Linked DNA regions of Drosophila melanogaster. The protein of the gene in region 3 purifies or fractionates together with the protein of the main gene of each other region. This does not show direct contact. Each region holds a gene or a part of one and is shown on either strand. Other genes may lie near its edges.

Evidence for each region.
Region 1: the proteins of Lrpprc2 (region 3) and CG13126 purify together in Drosophila melanogaster (affinity purification with mass spectrometry, with the first as the bait; one large-scale study listed by BioGRID). This does not show direct contact.
Region 2: the proteins of Lrpprc2 (region 3) and Upf1 purify together in Drosophila melanogaster (affinity purification with mass spectrometry, with the first as the bait; one large-scale study listed by BioGRID). This does not show direct contact.

The regions. Positions count from the first base shown.
Region 1 is NT_033779.5:9,951,572-9,956,164, forward strand, and holds CG13126 (uncharacterized protein), read right to left. Parts: upstream 2,611-4,593; 5' UTR 2,523-2,610; coding exon 1,539-2,522; intron 1,477-1,538; coding exon 1,187-1,476; intron 1,128-1,186; coding exon 1,010-1,127; 3' UTR 501-1,009; downstream 1-500. Other genes in the region: CG4709 (uncharacterized protein), read left to right, coding at 2,943-2,963, 3,025-3,942, 4,003-4,593.
Region 2 is NC_004354.4:11,899,496-11,907,404, reverse strand, and holds Upf1 (Upf1 RNA helicase), read left to right. Parts: upstream 1-2,033; 5' UTR 2,034-2,370; intron 2,371-2,428; 5' UTR 2,429-2,493; coding exon 2,494-2,661; intron 2,662-2,723; coding exon 2,724-6,056; intron 6,057-6,125; coding exon 6,126-6,167; 3' UTR 6,168-7,409; downstream 7,410-7,909. Other genes in the region: CG43156 (uncharacterized protein), read left to right, coding at 741-953. UniProt on the Drosophila melanogaster protein: RNA-dependent helicase and ATPase required for nonsense-mediated decay (NMD) of mRNAs containing premature stop codons.
Region 3 is NC_004354.4:1,455,481-1,463,596, forward strand, and holds Lrpprc2 (Leucine-rich pentatricopeptide repeat containing 2), read right to left. Parts: upstream 5,138-8,116; 5' UTR 5,079-5,137; coding exon 2,783-5,078; intron 2,722-2,782; coding exon 1,799-2,721; 3' UTR 1,695-1,798; downstream 1-1,694. Other genes in the region: CG14785 (uncharacterized protein), read right to left, coding at 1-215, 270-469, 543-1,466; CG14787 (uncharacterized protein), read right to left, coding at 5,383-6,165; Ns3 (nucleostemin 3), read right to left, coding at 6,614-6,832, 6,893-7,098, 7,166-8,116.

The DNA.
Region 1 (4,593 bases), on a different chromosome or scaffold from region 3:
AAAATGTATATAAAGATGAAAAATTCACTATCAGCCATTATAGTACAAGATTAGATCAATGAGTTGCTCTAAATGAAGTTTAATAGAAGAGTATAAGCCCTATTATACGAAGTCTCACAGGATAGTCCCTTGTTATGTATCCACGGCTCGTTGCTCTGAAACACACCTTGTTCCAAAGCCAATCCCTAAAACCCGATGTACATGGAAGTAGTCCTTCCGCACCCACTCCCCTTTCCATCGGCTAGCCACATTTCGCGCCCCACATTTTGGCCTTTTCCAACCACATAATGTCCTTTGATGGCACACAGGACTTCGAGGTGCGATGAATGGCTACGGGGATGATCCGCGGTCGTTAAAAGGGCGCGTCTCCCATTAAGACTTCGAAACTCTCATAACTAAATGTCAGCCAAACTGGGATTGGCTTACGAAACGCAGATATTCAGTCCAGACATTTCGACTAAGAAATCTATTATCCCTAATTAAAAGACAGGAGACTCTTTGATTTGCCAAAACTTGTATTTTGGCATTTAAATATATATTTAACAACATTATTGTACAAATGAAATACGTTTTTAAATTCAAGACTTAAACCTAAAACGCATAATGAAAGCAGTATGTGTATGGCACCTATATGTATGAACACTGGGCGTGCTGAAATCGCCGACCAATGGTCAGCCCAAGGCTCCTATATACAGGTGACATTATATAACACAACGATCCAAACCGGCGGGGCCAACCCATCCGCAGTCGCATCCGCCTTTTGTCTTGCCATACATTAAAATCCAGATGAGGGTGTGTTGGCCGTTGAACAAAATTTAGTATCAATGAGCATGCTCGCTTGCCATTTGAATTGTATGGTTAACTTAAATGCAACTGTTTAATTAAATTCAGCTCCACCCGCAACGATTTGTTTGCACATAATTAAGTCAACTAATTGGATGCCAGTTTTAGTATCAATTAGCTTCAGGTCGTGACTTTATGCCTAATATAATTGGTTCAACATCTTAGACTACGCCAAAACAGGTGGTTCCTCTGATTCGATTGATTCTTGTTTGATTTGCGGCTGTCCCAGCGACATAGGTAAACGATCACCCCACCGACTCACTTTTGCACAAGAATAGGCAGACCTGCAGAGAAAATACAATTGCTTAAGAGGAGTTTAAAAGCCTTTTGTGGTTCTACTTACTTTCCGTGCTTGGACTTCGTGAAGATAACCTCTTGGAGAGTGCCCTTTTCTGTGCAGAGCCGACAGATGGCATGCTTTGACCTTACCAAGGTGGGACGCACAATGCGCGGCCAGGAGCTTGAGCTATCGGATTGGGAACCCTTCTTCAGGATGGCATAACTGTAGAGGGAGGTGTGACGGTCTGCCAAGAAGTCGCTACCCAAACGCAGGGGAGCGTAGGAGATGGGAAAATTGCAGGGCGTTCGATCGGCCAGATCCCGAAGTCGAGGACAGACCAAATCATGCGGACACTAAAGGTATGTATAAATAAGTTAGATTACTACCCTTACATCGCAAATACGTTGAAACTTACTGGTGCCACAGTGTGACCTTCTTGTTCCTGTTCCAACAAAAATTGCCTAGCCTCGTTGACTAACTCGCTGCCACGGCGCGTTCCCTCCTCCACAATGACCAGGTAACCATCGCACTTCCGCCACAGATTCCGCAGCACATCCTCCCGCTGCTCTTTGTTCTCCAACTCAAAAAGCGTATGAGATATAATGACCAGATCATAATTGGTTTCGATGGCGGGCAGGAACTGTCGATAAAATACATTGCGCAGGGCTATTTGCTTGTTCTCATGGCCATCGCGCAGAATGAGCTCTGATATCTCATTCATCTCCCTGGACCTGTCCACGTTGTAGTACTCGAATATGTGTTCGCGCCACAGTTCGCTGGCCACCCACATACCGGTTCCAATGCCGGATCCGAAGTCAAAGAAGCTTCGTGGCCGAAACTGTTCATCCCGCTGCGCCAGCTCCGTGAGAACGCGCTTCAACACGGCGTACTCCTGGGCACCACGAGCTATGGCGTACACAAGCGACTCGTATGCTCCATATTCTATTCGCTTCCAGGCGTAGATACGCTGACCCAGCCTCTTGTTGATCTCCAGCTCCCGCTTGCGCCTCCAACGCTCCGCCTCGTCTTCGTCGAGTGTAGCTAGGCGATCCAGAGGCATCTTCGTGTTGACCTCTTCGATAACGATGCGTTTCTTGTTCTCAATCTCTTCCAGCGTGGGTGGTGGATGGCGGGATTTGATATAGGCGTTGAGCTGCTGGCCATCGTGGATTAGTTTTTTGACGGGATGATCCCCCACGATGCGCTTTAGCGTATCATTCAATTGTTTCGGCAGTTCCACATGATTGGGTCTCACTACTCCGGGATGTTTTCTGGGCTTCAGTGTGGCATGTTCCAGGGCAGAGACCACAGCTGGTTCAACGTCCACTGCAATCTTGCTGGTGAATCGGTGCAGTCGTGGCACTAGATTTCTCGTTGTGAAATTCAGTGAAAAATTCATATTAAATTCTAATTAGTTAAGTAATAAGTAACCGAGAAATCAAAACAAATGAGAGCCACACGAGTTTACCGGCGATTTGCCAGTGCTGTAAAAGTTCCAGTCCCATCAGCTGACGGTGCTGCCAGACGTTTTGCCTCAATCACAGATTCGGCTATATTAATAGCATCTTTTTTCTGTTTGAGTTAACATTTAATAGAATTCTTAATATACATATGTCTTAATAATAATAATTTTACTACCTTCAACCATATAAGCAATTTATATAAATAAATTTAAAAAGCAACCAAAAATAGTCGAGAAAACATAACAATTGAACAAAAAGAGTACTATAACCGTGACCTCTACTGTGTGCTTGCTCCTTAGAATCTGAAAACAAACTTGCCATCAGCACTATGTTGTAAATAATAAATTTAAAGAATAATGGAAGAATACGAAGCACAAGTGAGCAAAGGTGATAACATGAGATCCCAACTATTTTTATGAAAATACTTGCATCAAACAGTTGCTCGTTGTGGAGCAGGCATTGGAAAATGCCGCGGATGATGCGCAACGCCAGGATCTTTTGGCCCTAAAGAACAATCTGCAGGAGCTGTTGGCCCTCACCCGGGAATCAGGAGATGAAGCACCAATCGATGAACTACCTCAGCAGGGCGACAATCTGGATGATGAGCTGCAGCGGCTCAAAAGCGAACTTAATGACCTAGAGGCGGCCGGCTCCTCACAAACCGCGTTGGATGAAGAACGCCAGCTGGCTGACTTGCGAACCAAGTACACCGCCATGGTGGGCGAGAAGTGCTCCGCACCACACGAGCACAGTTGGGGCACCTGCTACCACAATGCCCTCATCTGCGGAGTGGACGACGAGGTGGTTATGAACAGCGAAGGCGTCTTGGATGCTCGACTAAGGGTTCTCTTTACGAATCCCACGCATCGAGAAATGCTGCCCTGTTCGTATTACCTCGAAGGCGAGTGCCGCTTTGATGAGGCCAAGTGTCGCTTTTCCCATGGCGCCCTTGTCACCGGTAGCTCCATTAGAAAATATAATCCACCCGATTTCCACAAACTCTCCCGCAGTCGTCCAGTTTTTGCCCTGCTACCAGATCGATTGTGGCATCGAGGTCGTGTCCTTTGTGTAAATTTCGTAGAGCAGATATGCCGCGTCCGCTTGGATGGGCAGGATCACAAGGAGCGGGAACGAGACTTCAAGTTCGAAGAACTGTATCCACTTACCACCGATCAGGATGAGGATGACGAGCTCTCCAGCGAGGAGAGCAACTCCAGCATGAACGACAACAGCAGTGACGAGGCGGAGTCGGATATGGATGATCTGGAGGAAGCTAGAAGAGCACGCATGGTCGAGTTGAGTTTGTTTACCTTTAAGCCGACGGAACGACTTGGCGCCTGGGAGGAGTTCACACGGGTATGTTGAGCAGATTACGATTCAGAAAACTTAAATTCCTATAAATACTATTCCCTATAGGGCATCGGCTCTAAGCTTATGGAGAAAATGGGTTACATCCATGGTACTGGTCTTGGCTCAGATGGAAGGGGAATCGTCACCCCGGTAAGCGCCCAGATACTTCCCCAGGGTCGATCTCTAGATGCCTGCATGGAGCTGCGTGAGGCCGCCAACGGGGACAAGGATTATTTTAGCGTGGAACGAAAGCTAAAGCGCGCCCAGCGACGACAGCGAAAGGCTGATGAGAAGGCCTACGTCCGTGAGTCACAACGTGTGGATGTCTTTACATTCTTAAACGACAGTGTTTTGGGGCCTGGAGAAAGCACTCAGCAAGGCGAGCAGGTGACCAAGAAAGCTAAGACCAACGAGCTACAGCAGCACTCAACCAAAACTCTTAACGTGGAAACAGTGCGAATTGCTGATGAAATCCGCCGAAAGCAAAGAGATATGGCCAAGGTTAAACAGTCCCTGGACCGGAATTCTGGAGATGCGCAGCTCCAGAAGCGACTACAAGTGCAGATGCAAAGCCACAAACAGGAGCTAGCCACGCTGCAGGCACAGGAACGCAGCTTAAGCAAGGAACAGCAGACGCGTAAAAGCAAGAATAAAATG
Region 2 (7,909 bases), about 10 Mb from region 3:
GCGGCCTTGGTTTCATTTCATTACTTCTTAAATTTGAAACCACACACGGAATGCTTGTGGGATTTCAAAAAACATTTCAATACCTCCACAATCGAGTGGAAATATATTTGCAGATCTGCCCTTGTAAAAGGAGATATATTATCAGACAAATTTGCAAAAATTGCAAAATGAAGTTTAATATGCAAACCACTAGGAAATAAAATGCTTAAAGGGTTAAATATTCAAATTCTCAAAATCAGAAAAAAAAAAACGTTTTTCCGTTACCTTAAGACATAAAATGAAGTAAATAAATAACAACATGAAGTAAAATAGCAAAATTTTTTTCCTTTGAGATTTATACAATTATTTTCCCAAGTGTATATTTTAAATGATGAATGCGCATTTTTTGATTTTTTCACTGACGCAGTTTGAGGAAAATGCCCAAACATATGCACATACATATGTACCTATATGTGAATGAATGTAAATTTATGAAGCCCTCGCTCAATTCAAGTAAAACAACATTTTTTCTGAAATCAAACCGTTTCAGAGACTCGAGCGAGTCACACGTAAATTATCCCGATCTGCTAATTAATTGTTTAGTACAGCTTTTTGAACCGAAAACTTGAACACAATCAATGTGAGTGATGACAATTCACAAATTGCATAGATATTGCATAATTGATTCCTTTATAAAACATATTTGAAATCAGTTTTTGTGTTATAGGTGGACATTGTTCAAATCTAATGGAAATTCTAAAATGAACATCAACAGCGATTCGAACCAGGAACAATACTACAGACGAAATATTTTAGGGAAAGTTAATGCTGCAGATTGCGCAAGCTATTCCCATAATTTATTTATTGATTATAAGCTACAATTATTTTTCTGGGCTGCAGTATGCTGCTGCGTTCTCACGTTTTTGATTTGTCTGGCAATATGTATTTCGATATATATATATTTTATACGCTAATCAAAGTTAAAGTTATACGAAGTTCAATCTAAGATAACCACTGTATTTTTATTTATGGGAAAGCCTTTTATTTATGCTCATTTGTTCACATTCGAATGGTTTCTTGTTTATTTCAACTTTGGCGTTGAAAGCGTTTCCGACTATATAAAGCATATATATTATTGATCAGTATCAATAGCCGAGTCGATCTAGCTATGTCCCTCTGTCTGTCTGTCCGTATGAGGAACTATAAAAGCTAGAAGGTTGAGATTCAGCATACAGATTCTAGAGACAAAGACGCAGCGCAAGTTTGGTGACCCATGTTGCCACGCCCACTCTAACGCCCACACTTCTGAACCATTTTTTGAAATTTTTCATAATTTTTTTAGTTGCCAAACTGCGAAAAGACACGCCCACTCTAACGCCCTAGGGCAGCCGAACCGGTCACGCCCACAGTTTGGAACATTTTTTTTAATTTTTCTCATTTTATTCCCCAATATCTATCGATATCCCAGAAAAATGATAAAATTTCGCGTTCGCATTCACACTTGCTGAGTAACGGGTATCTTATAGTCGGGGAACTTGACTATAGCACTCTCTCTTGTTTTTTTTTATTTCCCTTAATGATTACAAGGAACCCTTGCTTCTGAAGGCAAATCTTGATGAGTCACATTATTGACAAAGAAAATATATATTTATATCATATATATTTATTGGGAACGAAAAAAGTTTTGATTATAATGATTGCCTTCGCAACTAAAACTTTAACCTGTAGGAAATACTTGAAGGTTTTATTTTTTCTTCCATTTTATCCAACAAGTTATTTCAAGTTAAACCTTATGGTTAAATCCTGTTTGTAATAGTTTATTATAAGGTCGACTATATAAGTACTTTTAAATAAATACGCAATACGGGAGTCCTATGTTTGTTTATTCATTTCATAAATTTTGGCGATTTTGGCGTTTTCCAAAATAAACAGTAATTTATGGTATAATTACTAAAAAGACAATACTTAAACGATATATTATTCACCCCATCACCGATAGTATCTATAGTCAACTTGCCCAACACTAGCGATTGATGTTGCCATACGCGATTATCGATAGACCCCTCGTGAGTCAAATGCAAACTGACGTATATTTATTACTGGCAAAACAGGCCGGGCAAATTTGTTGAACAAGCAAGAAAGTTTTCGCTTTTTTTAATCCTACATTCCCCGCAATAGCGTGGGAATCTCGTACAGACTCAATTTAAAACACACAACAGCCACAGTTTCGAAAGAGTGCCGAACGGCGGGCTCCCGAACACGGAAAGCGCGAAACGCACACACGACACCATCGCCATACCATAATCATCGCGGCCACGCTCCAAGCTTAGGAATTTTTCAATTCCGGAAACACTGACCAAGCGATCCGTGGTCTAGGAGCAGGTACTATAGGTGAGCATCAGTCCCATCCGAGTTACGTACCTATCGGCCAATGCACATTGCTAACTAGATCTCATCGCGATCCCTGCGGAAACGCAGCATAATCACCTTGGGTGAGAAGAAACAACAGGCGCCATGAGCGTGGACACGTACGCGCCCAGCTCGGCGCTCTCGTTCCTGGACATGGACGACAACGAGCTGCTTCCGGGAGCGGATACTCAACCCACGCAGTACGATTACCGCGACTTTACCATGCCCTCCACCTCGCAGAGCCAGACCCAGAACGATCAGCTGGAGATTGCCGTGAGTTGTCCCCCAAATCATTCCGCGAAACCCAAATGGCATATACCCTTTTTAATTTACAGCAACGCTGCTCTGCCGGAGACTCGCATCCACGACTGGCCAGCATCACCAACGATCTGGCCGATCTGCAGTTCGAAGAGGAGGACGACGAGCCTGGCAGCTCGTATGTGAAGGAGCTGCCGCCGCATGCGTGCAAGTATTGCGGCATCCATGATCCAGCCACGGTGGTCATGTGCAACAACTGCCGCAAATGGTTTTGCAACGGTCGTGGAAGCACTTCCGGTTCGCACATCATCAACCATCTGGTGAGGGCCAAGCATCGCGAGGTGACGCTCCACGGGGAAGGTCCCCTGGGCGAGACAATCCTGGAGTGCTACTCCTGTGGTGTGCGCAACGTCTTTGTGCTGGGCTTCATTCCGGCCAAGGCCGATTCTGTGGTCGTGCTGCTCTGCCGTCAGCCGTGTGCCGCCCAGAATTCGCTAAAGGATATGAACTGGGACCAGGAACAGTGGAAGCCTCTAATTGCAGACCGCTGCTTTTTGGCCTGGCTGGTAAAGCAACCCAGCGAACAGGGACAGCTGCGAGCTCGCCAAATCTCAGCCGCTCAGATCAACAAGCTGGAGGAGCTATGGAAGGAGAATATTGAGGCCACGTTTCAGGATCTGGAGAAGCCAGGCATTGACTCGGAGCCAGCACATGTGCTACTCCGCTACGAGGATGGCTATCAGTACGAGAAGACCTTTGGGCCGCTGGTCCGCCTTGAGGCCGAATACGACCAAAAACTGAAGGAGTCTGCCACGCAGGAGAACATCGAAGTACGCTGGGACGTCGGCCTCAACAAAAAGACCATTGCCTACTTTACGCTGGCGAAGACCGATTCGGACATGAAGCTCATGCATGGCGACGAGCTGCGCCTGCATTATGTGGGCGAGCTGTACAATCCGTGGAGCGAGATCGGCCACGTTATCAAGGTGCCGGACAATTTCGGCGATGACGTCGGCCTGGAGCTGAAATCCTCAACGAATGCCCCGGTTAAGTGCACCAGTAACTTTACGGTGGACTTCATCTGGAAGTGCACGTCATTTGATCGCATGACACGTGCTCTGTGCAAATTCGCCATCGATCGCAATTCAGTGTCGAACTTCATCTACTCGCGCCTGTTGGGCCACGGTCGTGCGGATTCCAACGACGAGGTGCTGTTCCGCGGCCCACAACCCAAGCTCTTCAGTGCCCCGCATCTGCCGGATTTGAATCGCAGCCAGGTGTATGCCGTGAAACACGCGCTTCAGCGTCCGCTCTCGCTAATCCAAGGGCCGCCTGGCACGGGCAAAACCGTGACCTCGGCGACCATCGTTTACCAGCTGGTCAAGCTCCATGGTGGCACAGTGCTGGTGTGCGCTCCCAGCAACACGGCCGTGGATCAGCTAACTGAGAAGATCCACCGAACAAACCTTAAAGTGGTGCGTGTTTGCGCCAAGAGCCGTGAGGCCATCGATAGCCCGGTAAGCTTCCTGGCGCTGCACAACCAAATCCGTAACATGGAGACCAACTCGGAGCTAAAGAAGCTGCAGCAGCTGAAAGACGAGACCGGCGAGCTGAGCTCAGCAGACGAAAAGCGATACCGCAACCTGAAACGTGCCGCCGAGAACCAACTGCTGGAGGCTGCCGACGTTATCTGCTGCACATGCGTAGGCGCCGGCGATGGTCGTCTATCGCGAGTCAAGTTCACCTCGATCCTGATCGATGAGTCTATGCAGTCGACGGAGCCGGAGTGCATGGTGCCAGTGGTGCTGGGCGCTAAGCAGCTGATCCTCGTGGGCGATCACTGCCAGCTGGGACCGGTTGTTATGTGCAAGAAAGCAGCTCGTGCCGGCCTCTCGCAAAGTTTGTTCGAGCGCCTGGTGGTTCTGGGCATCCGTCCGTTCCGGCTGGAGGTGCAATATCGCATGCACCCCGAGCTGTCCCAGTTCCCGTCCAACTTCTTCTACGAGGGATCGCTGCAAAACGGCGTCTGCGCGGAGGATCGTCGCCTTAAGCTTGATTTCCCCTGGCCACAGCCGGAGAGACCGATGTTCTTTCTGGTAACACAGGGACAGGAGGAGATTGCCGGCTCCGGCACCTCTTTCCTCAACCGCACAGAGGCGGCCAACGTGGAAAAGATTACGACGCGATTCCTTAAGGCAGGCATCAAGCCGGAACAAATTGGAATCATCACGCCTTACGAAGGTCAGCGCGCTTACCTGGTGCAGTACATGCAATACCAGGGCAGCCTGCACTCTCGTCTATACCAGGAGATCGAGATCGCCAGTGTGGACGCGTTCCAGGGACGTGAGAAGGACATCATTATCATGTCTTGCGTGCGATCTAACGAACGTCAAGGCATCGGCTTTTTGAACGACCCACGTCGCCTTAATGTTGCCCTTACACGGGCCAAGTTCGGGATCATCATTGTGGGCAATCCCAAAGTGCTCGCCAAGCAGCAGCTGTGGAACCATCTGCTCAACTTCTACAAGGACCGTAAGGTGCTCGTCGAGGGATCTCTGAATAACCTTAAGGAGTCGCTAATCCACTTCCAGAAGCCCAAAAAGCTTGTCAACAGCATGAACATTGGGGCACACTTTATGTCCACCATTATTGCCGATGCCAAGGAAGTGATGGTGCCAGGCTCCATTTACGACCGCAGTGGCGGTTACGGCCAAGGTCGCCAAATGGTGGGACAGTCAATGAATGGCGGACAGTACGGTGGCAGTGGAGGTGGTCCCTACGGAAACTCACCCCTCGGCTACGGTACTCCCAGCTCCAATTCCATGGTGGGCTTTGGCCTGGGCAACGGAGGCAATGGCGCGGCCGGTGGCAACAACAACTTCGGAGGGGCTGGACCCAGTTGGGCGGCTGCCCACCTCCACCACGACTCCATTGGCTATATATCCAACGAGCATGGAGCAGCAGCACTGGGCAACATGCCAGTTCCGGTTGGCATGTTCATGAACATGAGCAATATTCCGCCGCGTTTCTACAACCAGCACCAGCAGGCGATCATGGCGGTCAAGCAGAATCGCGCCATTCAACAACAGACGGGTAATTTCTCTCCCGGTAACTCGGGTCCTGGAGTCACTGGAGTCGGAGTCGGACGAAGCGCCACCCCAGGCGGCAATAAGAAGACCAACAAGCTGGGAAAATCGCGCGTAACGGGCGGTGGAACTGGCGGGGCACCGCTAACACAAGGAAGCTCGGTATGCAATGCTGCTCCATACAGTCAGCACCCGATGCCTTTGTCGCTGCAGATGACCCAGCCCAGCGGATTTGCTCTGTCCCAGCAGCCGGAACTTTCACAGGACTTTGGGCAAATATCGCAGATGGACGGTTTGCTATCCCAGGATGTTGCCTTTAACGCGGTAAGTGTGGAAGTGATATTTTTGAAACCCAAAGAGTGTTAGGTAATCTGAATTATTTGTGTTTCGCAGTCGGGCGAGCGGAGCTTGAATCAGTTCTCACAGCCTTATTGAGAATCCGGTTGGAGGTGCAACAACTACAAACGATAACAAGCAACACAAACGAAACAACAACAAACTCAACTTTGAAGTCATCATCAAGGAGTAGCATCAGTAGGCAGCAGGAAAAAGCAGAGAGGACCATCACGGGAACAACGACAGATGCGGGAAACAATGCGACCTAAGAACATTAGGACAAAGCGGGACATTAAAAGATGGCAAATCGAGACGAGGCAGCGTGATAGATGGAGACGGATATGGCAAGATGTGGAGTTACAAAGTAATAAAGAAGACTGAGACGGGAGAGAGATGTCGAAAGATCGAAATATCGAGAGCAAATCACTGTAGGCTGCCAGGATGCACAGCTGCAGTTGCTGTTTCCGTAGCGCCGCGGGCCATGGAGTCATAGCCAGGCGACATGCCATTGGCCACCGGCCATTGGCCATTGGTCACGAGTGCGCTCCCGAGACGGAGTTCGCCCACGGATGAGCCAATCTGCCAGCAAGGCGCCACACAAGATGGACAACTTCTCGACACGTTTCTTTTCTCTTTTGCCAGCCCAGGATTCGCAGCCGGAGCCTAACAAAGACGCAATCACTCCCGCCCAGGACATGTATTCACCAAGTGGCTTATCTTCTAACCTTCTTCTGGCCTCTAGTGCAGCAGCCAATCTTTAGCTCCTGTTTTAACATTTTCCCACCCAAAGCGGTTTATACCGATCCCCATATATGTATGCCCACTGTTGTACATTTTTGGACTCTTTTTTGATGCATTTGTTATCCTAACAAACACGAAAACAAAATCAAACAAAAACAAGGAAAATCACGCAAACAAAGAATCAAGACGAAACAAAATCAAATTTAAAAAACATGGATACACCATTTATAATCGCTCGGGAACGCTGGCGGATCCCCCCAAGCGGATGCAGGCTTCCAGCGCAGTTCGGATATCGAATGGTTGATAGGAAAACGCATTGCGATTTACCGATCTACATAGGTACACTACAAAAAAAAAAACACCACAAAAAAACAGGCGAACATTAACAAACTGAACCAACGGAGTAAATGATCAGGATCAGAAAAGGTTAGTTATTAATAATATTAATGCAGTTACAGATGCCTGATCATTGTTTTTAAAACGACATGAAAATCGTATATATTTTCTATATATTGTCAGTTAATTCTTCCTCCATGCGACTCTTTGTATCAAGAAAATGGAACATTTTGTTTGAAATTCAAAATAAAGAATTCCCTTGCGAAAAAAAAAAAACCAATATTCGCGCCAAGAATTTTCTCTTTGGGGCACGTGAAAATTGAATTTATATTCGAGTTTCCAGACACTTGGCTGTTTTGTTGCTTTTTAATTTACAGAACTTGCAATTTTACATTTTCGGATGACATGTTGTTTTTCAAATAGATACATACACACCACTGGAGGAACGAACATCGCACACCTCCGTGGCTGTTTACAATAATTAATGGAATGCGAGCAAACAATTCGAGTGTTTAAAGGTATAAATAGGAGAATATAATAACATTTAACAAGATAATGTATGTAATGTAAAAGTGTATTGAAATTCGATTCCAGTCGGGCTGCTTTCACGTTCTTTTCCGTACGGATGATTCGGTTCGGATTCTTTTGAATTTCAATTTACAAGCTTTCCTGTTTCGATTTAACATTGCTGCACATATTACCTATCCATTTAGTTTCTTCATTCTTGTTTCCAAGTACCATAAAGTTGTTGTACTTTCTTTTTA
Region 3 (8,116 bases):
AGCAGTTGGGCGCGCAGCAGATAATCCTGGCCAGGTATTCTTTGAACGCGTCGTAGGTGGGGTAAACGAACTGCTCGCAGTGGCTCTTATGGTGGTGGCTGCACTCAGTATCCACTATCCAGTCGCGGACCAAGAGCCTCTCCTCCTGATGCTTTCGTTGTCGGTGTAAAGCGGCGCCACTGAAGCGGGGCTTAGACTTGAGGGTGATGGCGTCTCTGGGGGAAACAGTTCACGTAAGCGATGTACAAACCCCCAAGAATGGAACCTACTCTAGGCCTGCGGCAATCAAGCGTTGCACGCCGGGACTGTGGATTACTCGGGCAAAGTGGTTGCACCGGTTGGACCTGTCCAGGGTGCACAAGTACCAAGTCGGCATCAAGGCGAAATGCACCTCGGCTAAGATGCGCTCGGCGCAGTCGCCGCGCTCAAGCCAGTTGTGCTCCAGCCAGAGCACCACGGAAAGGAATATCTGCCGATGGTTATCGTTTGAATTAGAAGGAGAATGACCCAGTGACCACACGGAAATGATTTGACGATCTCACCTCGATCTCCGAGTTGACGCTGAGGTAACAGTTTCGCAAGATGTGCGTGAGCTCGTGCTCGGTGAAGTACAGGAAGAATGGTGAGCCGACAATGCAGAGGAAGACGCGAGAGATGCGGGTGAGCATTAGTTCGCACAGGATACGGGCCTGCGGGTGATAACGGACTTCCAGGTAGGCCTTGAAGGCGGTGTCCTCGTTGAAGAACTCCATCTTCGACAGGGACGACCTCAGCTGGCGCAGCAGCTGCGGGATCTGCAGCACCTCCTCCGCAACGACGCGGGCGAACAGCTCGCGCTCCGCACCCGCATCCGGGCCAAGCTGATCTAGCTTCGGCAGCTTATCTATAAATTTGCGCGCCGCGTATATCTTGGCGTAGTTCTGCAGCACGCCCTTAAAGAAGCGATACCGCTCATTGCCGACGAATATGCCGGCCTCCATCAGAGTCTGCTCCCGCAGCACGTGCAACAGCTGTTCGGAAACGCGCTCGATGGCCGAGTGCGGCTGCACCCCGCTGCCGAGCAGCTCCATCACGATCTGCTTGGCCTCGCCATCGCCCTCTGCGCCGTCGCCGAGGTGATTGAGCAGGCTGGCAATTTGCTGGCGGCTGGTCAGCGCCTTCAGCTTGGCTGGATCTCCCTCGATTGGCAAGAGCTTTACAGCGTGGGCCGACGTCGAGGAAGCGGAACCGGCGTCGCCCTGAGCGCCGCTCTCGAGTTTCTCTGGCTCCGGTTTCGGCCTGCGGTCCTGCTTTTTGTCCTTCAGCTGATCCTGTTGATCCTTTAGCTGCGGAAGGACCCGCGTTCGGAGTAGCGGCGAGACGGTGGCCACCGACATGAATACCTCTATTGCGCCCTGCTCATGAATCTGGTTGCCCATCTGGGCCTTCTGCTCATCGGAGACCGGACGTCGGGACAGCCGCTTCATGGTTGGATAGGGAGGGGTTGCAACTTGCACAGATTGAACGCGAATAAAAACTAAAATTTAGATTGGGAGTGGGTTTCGGAGAAGCTGTTAGGAGACTGTTGTATGCTACGAGTGAAAACTTTGTGACCGTTTCGGAGCACAGATTCCAGATGACAATAGGTTTCAAAAGCCAGGCCTACTAGACGTGGCACCAGGACACCCAGAAGCTATAAAAGATCTTTCAGACTTGCAGGTATACCGTCTCGTATTTACTGCACTAATTTATGTGTGTACATACATACCAAGTGTATAACTAAGGATAAGAGCGACGATCTATCTATCTCGTCGCCCGGCTATCTAACGTGGGCGCGCAGGGCGATTGTACTGGGAATTTCAACCTGGTTCACCTGCAGCAGCTGCACAAGGTTGCGAAGGAACTCATGCGACACCTTCAGCTCGTCGTCGGCCTCCAAGCGCTCAAAGAGATCCAACGCCGCCTCGTAGTCGTTGCTACGGCAGAACTGGGCCAACAGGAGGTCGTAGATCTTCTGCTCGTCTATGGTCCGCTGGACACCCCTCACTCCGCGCGCCAGCCGCAGGAGCGTCCGCACAGCGCCCTCCTGTCCCAAGTGCTCGCAATTCTTCACGAGGAGCTCGTGGTTGATGCGGAACTCTGGGTTGATGATCAGCCGGCGCAGCTGTGTCTCCTTTCCGGATTCGGCCAGGGCGAGCAGCAGAGCGCTGTTCATATTGGCCGCTCCGTGGATGCGACTCACAGTCGCAGTAACCACCGCTAGGTGCTGCTGCGCGGACTCGGCCGTGACGCCGGGAAAACGGGTCAGCTCCTGCTCGTCCCCGTTGCCCAGTCGCACCAGCAGGGACAAGAGCTCGAACTGCAGAGGCGTGTGCTTGTGAGTGTTAGCCAGTCGCTGAAACTCGGCCACCGCAGCGTCCAAGTTGCCCTTCAACAGCCACTCGCGGACCACTGGTCCCAGTAGGGCATTTTGCGATTGACAGTAGCCCAGACCCCTGAGGAAGTCCAACCACTCGCGAGTCTGGTTAAGTTGTTTGGAGCTCTCGCCACCTGCATGTGAAGAGGCGGCCAGCTGGCCCACGTTGGTCAGCAATTGCCATACGTTCTTCATCACATAGTCGCCACCGACAACCTTATGCTGCTCCGCGCGTCGCTGGAGCAGCTGCTTTGCGGCCTCCAGCTGCTGGCCTTGGACCAGGAGGGCGGCATAGTCGATCACTTTGTGCTCGTCAATCTGAAAGGCTTAAGAGAGAACGGTATGCGGATTAATGCAGTTCACATCTAGTAGTAAGTTGTTAGGTACCTGGATACATGCTGCTCAGTCGCTCCAAGCTCTCCTGGGCGCGCGGCAAGTCGCGCAGCTTGATGTGTAGGTCGAATATGGAGGCCATCATGCCTGCGCTTTCCTGAACCTTCAGAACTTGGCACTTGGCCAACAGCTGCTGTGCGCGCTCCAAGCGCCCACTGCGCACCGAGAGCTGCAGCAAGCGACGCAACACGCCTCGCGGGTTCAGCTGCTTGGACTCCAGCTCGACTAGGTGGCACTCGAGCTCGTCTATGCTCATGTCGCGCGGGTGCTTGATGAAGCCTCCGTGGAGCGAGACCGTGTCAGCTGGCAGGGCGAGCTGTGGGTTTTTCATCTTCTGCAGCGTTTTGGCCAGATCCTGGATGAGGTCAACGTCATCAGTGGCGTGCCGGACCACGGAGAGTAGAGCTTCGGAGGCAGCGGGTGAGATTTGTAGCTCTAGGCGTCTCAGTTCGTGCAGAAAACGTCGCAACGAGGTGGCATCCTGGCGCAGACGCGTCTGAGGTCCAGTCATTTGCAGCAGCAAGGAGCCCACAAAATCTTCTCCCCGTTTGAGTGCCTTCTGCTGCAGGGCTTGGATCACTTTGGCAAATACCTCGAAACGCTTCGTGGCACGGGCATTGACCGCCAGCGAAGAAAGTGGTTGGAGCAGCGTGGCCAGGTCCAAGCGTGTCGGATACCGATCAAGCAAGTCCAGCACCTCGGACATCTGATGCTGCTGCAGCAAGTGGCTCACAACCGGGCACAGGGTCTGGGAAGGCTTGACCCCCGCCGATTCAAGTGCCTTCACGGCCTCCAAGGGCTGCACCAGGGTTTGGCGCAGGTGGGGAAACAGGTAGTGCCGCAACGTTTCCTCGTCGCACTCAACGCGCAGGCGCCGCATTTCAGAAACCAGGCGTAGCATGCCGCTTTCGCCCTCCCGCCGGTAATGGTGCAAGATCAGGGGCCAGAAGTAATGCGGACGAAGTTCCTCGCCGGCTGCAGATAGATCCTCCAGGCAGCGTAGCGCGGATGATGGCTGACGGCGAAGGGCCAACTCCGCCACCAAATGCAGGGCGCGGACGTTCTGGTTCCGCTGCACTAGTTGACCGGCGAACTGGATTGTTTGGTCCAACGGAACTTGGGCGCGGAAGAACTCCTGCAGCAGAAGTGCACCGTACTCATCCACGTTCTGATTCTGCAACTCGAACTTCGGAGCGGGCAACGCACCTACGAGCTGTATGACGACTTCGGTGCGTCCTTGGTGCACCAGCTGAATGCACAGGCTTCTGATGGCGGGCGGCAGGTCGATACCTGTTAGAAACTCGCGGGGCAGTTCCTTGACAAGCAGTTGGATTAGATCCGTGTCGACATCCTTGCTGGCGAGCAGACCCCGCAGCATCTGGAGCAGCTGAGGGGCGGTGAATCCGTGCTCCACCTGCAGCAGCTCCTTGGCCTGTGCCAACTGACCGTTTTCCAGCAGAGCCTCGAACCAAATGGCCTGAGTGCTGCTGCCTTGCTGTATTCCTGCGGCCCGCATGCTGGCTAGGACGGACTCCGCCCCGGGCAGATCACCGCTGCGGGCGTGGCCCAAAAGCAGGGCGTGAAAGTTGTGCTCCGTGAGGGCGAGGCTGCGCTCGCGCATCTCCGACAAAATCTCGGTGGCCATGCGCATGTTTCCGGCGGCGCCGGCCACGTCCAAAAGAGCGCCGTACAAGGTGGAATCGGCTGCTCCATGGTAGACGGCAATCTCCGCCAGCAACGAGCGATAGTCAGTCAGAGGCAAACGGTTCTGGCGCAGCACCTGGAGCTTCGTGTGGTAATGTGCCAGCGTGGGCTGGCCCAACTTGATCAGTTGAGCCCAGAGTCCCTTGAAGAGCTGAAGACGCTCCTGGCTGCTCTGAGCAGGAAGCAGTTCGGGCACACAGGACCCTAGAAGGAAGTGCACCTCTTCGATGCCGACTCCTAGCGGCGACGCAGACTCCTGCAGGAGCTCCAGCAGGCGCTGGCAGTGCTCAAAGTTGATCAGATCGTGCTGCCGGTAGTACGCCTCCAGCTGTGTCCACGCATCCGCCACGCTGGCTTTCGGTTTTTCAGAGGAGGAGGCGGGGCGCCGGCTTCTTCGCTCCACCGCACTGAGGACGCCACCCGTTCCCAGGGATCGCATCTGGAGCAGCGAGAACGGCACCGCTGGCGCCGCAGGCTTCGTTGCATAACGGAATGCCAGGCTGGCGGAGGAAGCGCTGCGTCCTGGCAGATGGCCCAAGCGCTGCCTGCAGAGCCACACGTTCCGCAACAGTCGTGCTCGCTGCATTTTGCCCAAGTTAATTAATCTTCCCCAAAATTACGAGATTTTACTTTCGCAGTTTTGCGGCGAGCAACAAAAAAAAAACAACACGCGCCGGCAATCAGCTGTGCCTTCCAGTCGAAAGATATCGAAAACAGTGCTGCCCATCTGTATATGCATACCCGTTTCCGTTGCAGATTTTGATTTAAAGTTTAAGTTAAGTCATGGAGCTCCAATGAAAGGAATGAAAAGAAATACCATGGGGACATGTCATTATTTTATAATCGCTATTTATTTACTTAATCGATTCAACGGATCTGGAAGCGCAACCCTACAGCGAGGATCTGGCCAAGCGGCGTCGCTGCGCAGCCAGCGGAGTGCCCTCCTCGCGCAATTCGGCCAAGAGGGAGTCCTGCCAGGGACGAAACAGGAGGCGCTTTGTCGCCAACAGGGAGGCGGAAGGCAAGCGCAAGTATTGGTCGACGCGGTGCCAAAACTCCTGCGGCTCTCGCACCACACTGGCCACAAGGCCACACTGGAGGGCAATGCTGGAGCTCGCTTGATCGCCCAGACGAAGCAGCCAGTGGACGTGTGGCACAGTCCAGCCGGGACCCACCTTGGTGCAGGGATCCAGGTGCGAGAAAGCGGGCACAAAGGCAGATAACTCCGTTGCGAAGACCAGATCGCACAGGCTGCACACGCTCAGGCCCAGACCGACGCACTGCCTCTCCACAAAAGCCACTAGGAGTTTGCGGTGCACAAGCAGCTTCTTGGCCAGCGAGCGCATCACAAAATTGGCCGCCTTCTCATGGATGTACTGCTCCTCGGCATCACCACTGCCCACAGCTTCTTCGTGGGAAGCGGTACGCCTACTCCTATTCTCCAGACCCTGTTTGAGAGCCAACGGTTCCATCTCACCGCCACATGCTGCAGAAAACTCGCCCGAGAGCACGACCACCTTAACGGCGGCGTCTGCACTCGCCAGGTCCAGGGCGCGCATCAGCTCGTAGAGGGTTCGGCGTTGCCAGCGCCGCTGGAAGCGTATGTGGAGCAGCCCAGAACGCTGTTCGACGACCAGCTCCCTGAAGTGCTTGCAGCTCTCGTTTGTGGCCATCGCTGAAGACTGCGTGATAGAGACTGTGGCCAAGTGATAGAAGACAAGAGCCGTAAGCATCTGCGCTTATCACGCGGTCAAAGTGCAGGCTTCTTTTCTCCGCGCAACTGCGCTCCTCCGCATCTCGAAATTACCTTCCATTCACGCATCTCTTAAACTCAATTGGGGGCGCCATTCCAACAACAGTTTGCTTTCATTGGTGTGTATGCTAAATATATGCTATCTTTGTGTTAATCGTTGTGTCCAGGCTGGGCCATCAGATGGCTTATCTATGTTTCTCTCAATCTGCTAGTTGCGCAATATAACTCTTTCAGTCTGAGATTGTGGGCCTTCAAACTCTCGAAGTCGGGGGGACTTTAATATATATGTATATACGTAGGTTTAATGCTTAAAATGTACAAGTGCCTCTTAGACACACCCTTCGGAATAAATAACTAATGGGCTACAATCAGTGCTCGTCCAGGTGCGAGAACTTTTTGCGCAGCTTCTCGCGCCTCTCCTTCTTCACATGACGCCAGGGCTTGGCCGCCGGATCATTGCCGGCTACTAGGGACCCGTCGTTGGCCAGGCGCACGTTAGGGAAGTTAGTGCGTCCTTTGACGTGGGCGTGCGTAGGCTTGTCGGAGAAGAATTGGTTGTCTAGCTCCTTGGACGTGCTTTTGTTGATCTGCGGAAAACGCGATCAGTTAGCAAAGGAATCACGTCTAGTGCAAAGGGCAAATCTCACCCGCATGGCTCGCTGCTGTTGGCCGGGCAGCTGTGATTCCTCGATGACCCTGCGCTGGCGTTCGGGAAAGGTGTGATACTCGGTCTGCGGTACAGAGGGCGGGCTCATGGCGTAGAGCAGTCTGCCATTGACGTAGTCTTTAAGCACATACCTGGCGGAACGCGCCTGATCCGGCTGCCCGTTGGAGGTCATAAAACCGCGATTGTCTGGAAAAGAGCGAGAAAGAGTGCGTTGTGAAATACTGAAATGCGTGCGCAAAGCATTGGCACTTACATCCATAAGCCAGCAGCAGCTCCTCCGAATGCGGTGGCCTTTCCATGTCCTCGCCTTCCAGCGGCTTGGCTATCACAATACCGTATTTGTCTTCAAGGACGTGGCGCGGAATGCGCTCGCACAGCAAGTTGACGGCGGGAACGTGATCGCGCATTTGGTCAATGGGCAGGATGCCGTTGAGCAACATGTCCGCCTTGGTTAACACAAAACTCGGCATCACCAGACCGGGACAGTCGCAGAGCAGTATGTCCTTGTCCAGGAAAAGCGTCTGGAAGCGTTTAGTTTTGCCCGGCGTGGCCGAAACGGACACCTTCTTCACTGTCATCAGCGAGTTGATGGTGCTACTTTTGCCAACGTTTGGGTAGCCGACCATTCCGACGGTCACGTGCTGCTCTGTGTGCCGGGGACCGGTGTAGATGTTTCGCAGGAACTCAATGAGCTCCAGGCGGGACAGCAGTCGGGGACTGTTCTTGTCCCCGGGCAATCGTGGCAGCTCATCGTTTTGAGTCTCGGGAATCGTCTTATATTTCTGCTCGATAACGTTCAAAGCGTCCTCCACGCTATCCAACGACTGTTTTATCTCCTCAACTGCTCTGCGCAGCTGTTGCACCTCGGGAAAGGAATCCAGGCACTCCTCCGCCTCCCGCTTCAACTCCTCCTCTACCAGCGTGGCCGAGTAGAAGGCCGTGCGAATACCCTCGCTGTCAAAGTACTCCGCCCAGTGGCGACGCTGTTCCTCAGTGAGCAGGTCCGACTTGTTTACCAGGATCATGTTCATCTTGCTAGGTTCCACCTCCTTTACGTAGCGCTCAAGGTCGGCGCTGCGGAACAGCAGCGGATTACGGGCGTCTACGATCTGCACAACGACGTCAGATCGCTCCACTACGCGCCACAGCTGCCGCCAGAACTCCAGGTTCTTCTCATACGGAGTCATCAAGATCTCCTCGTCCT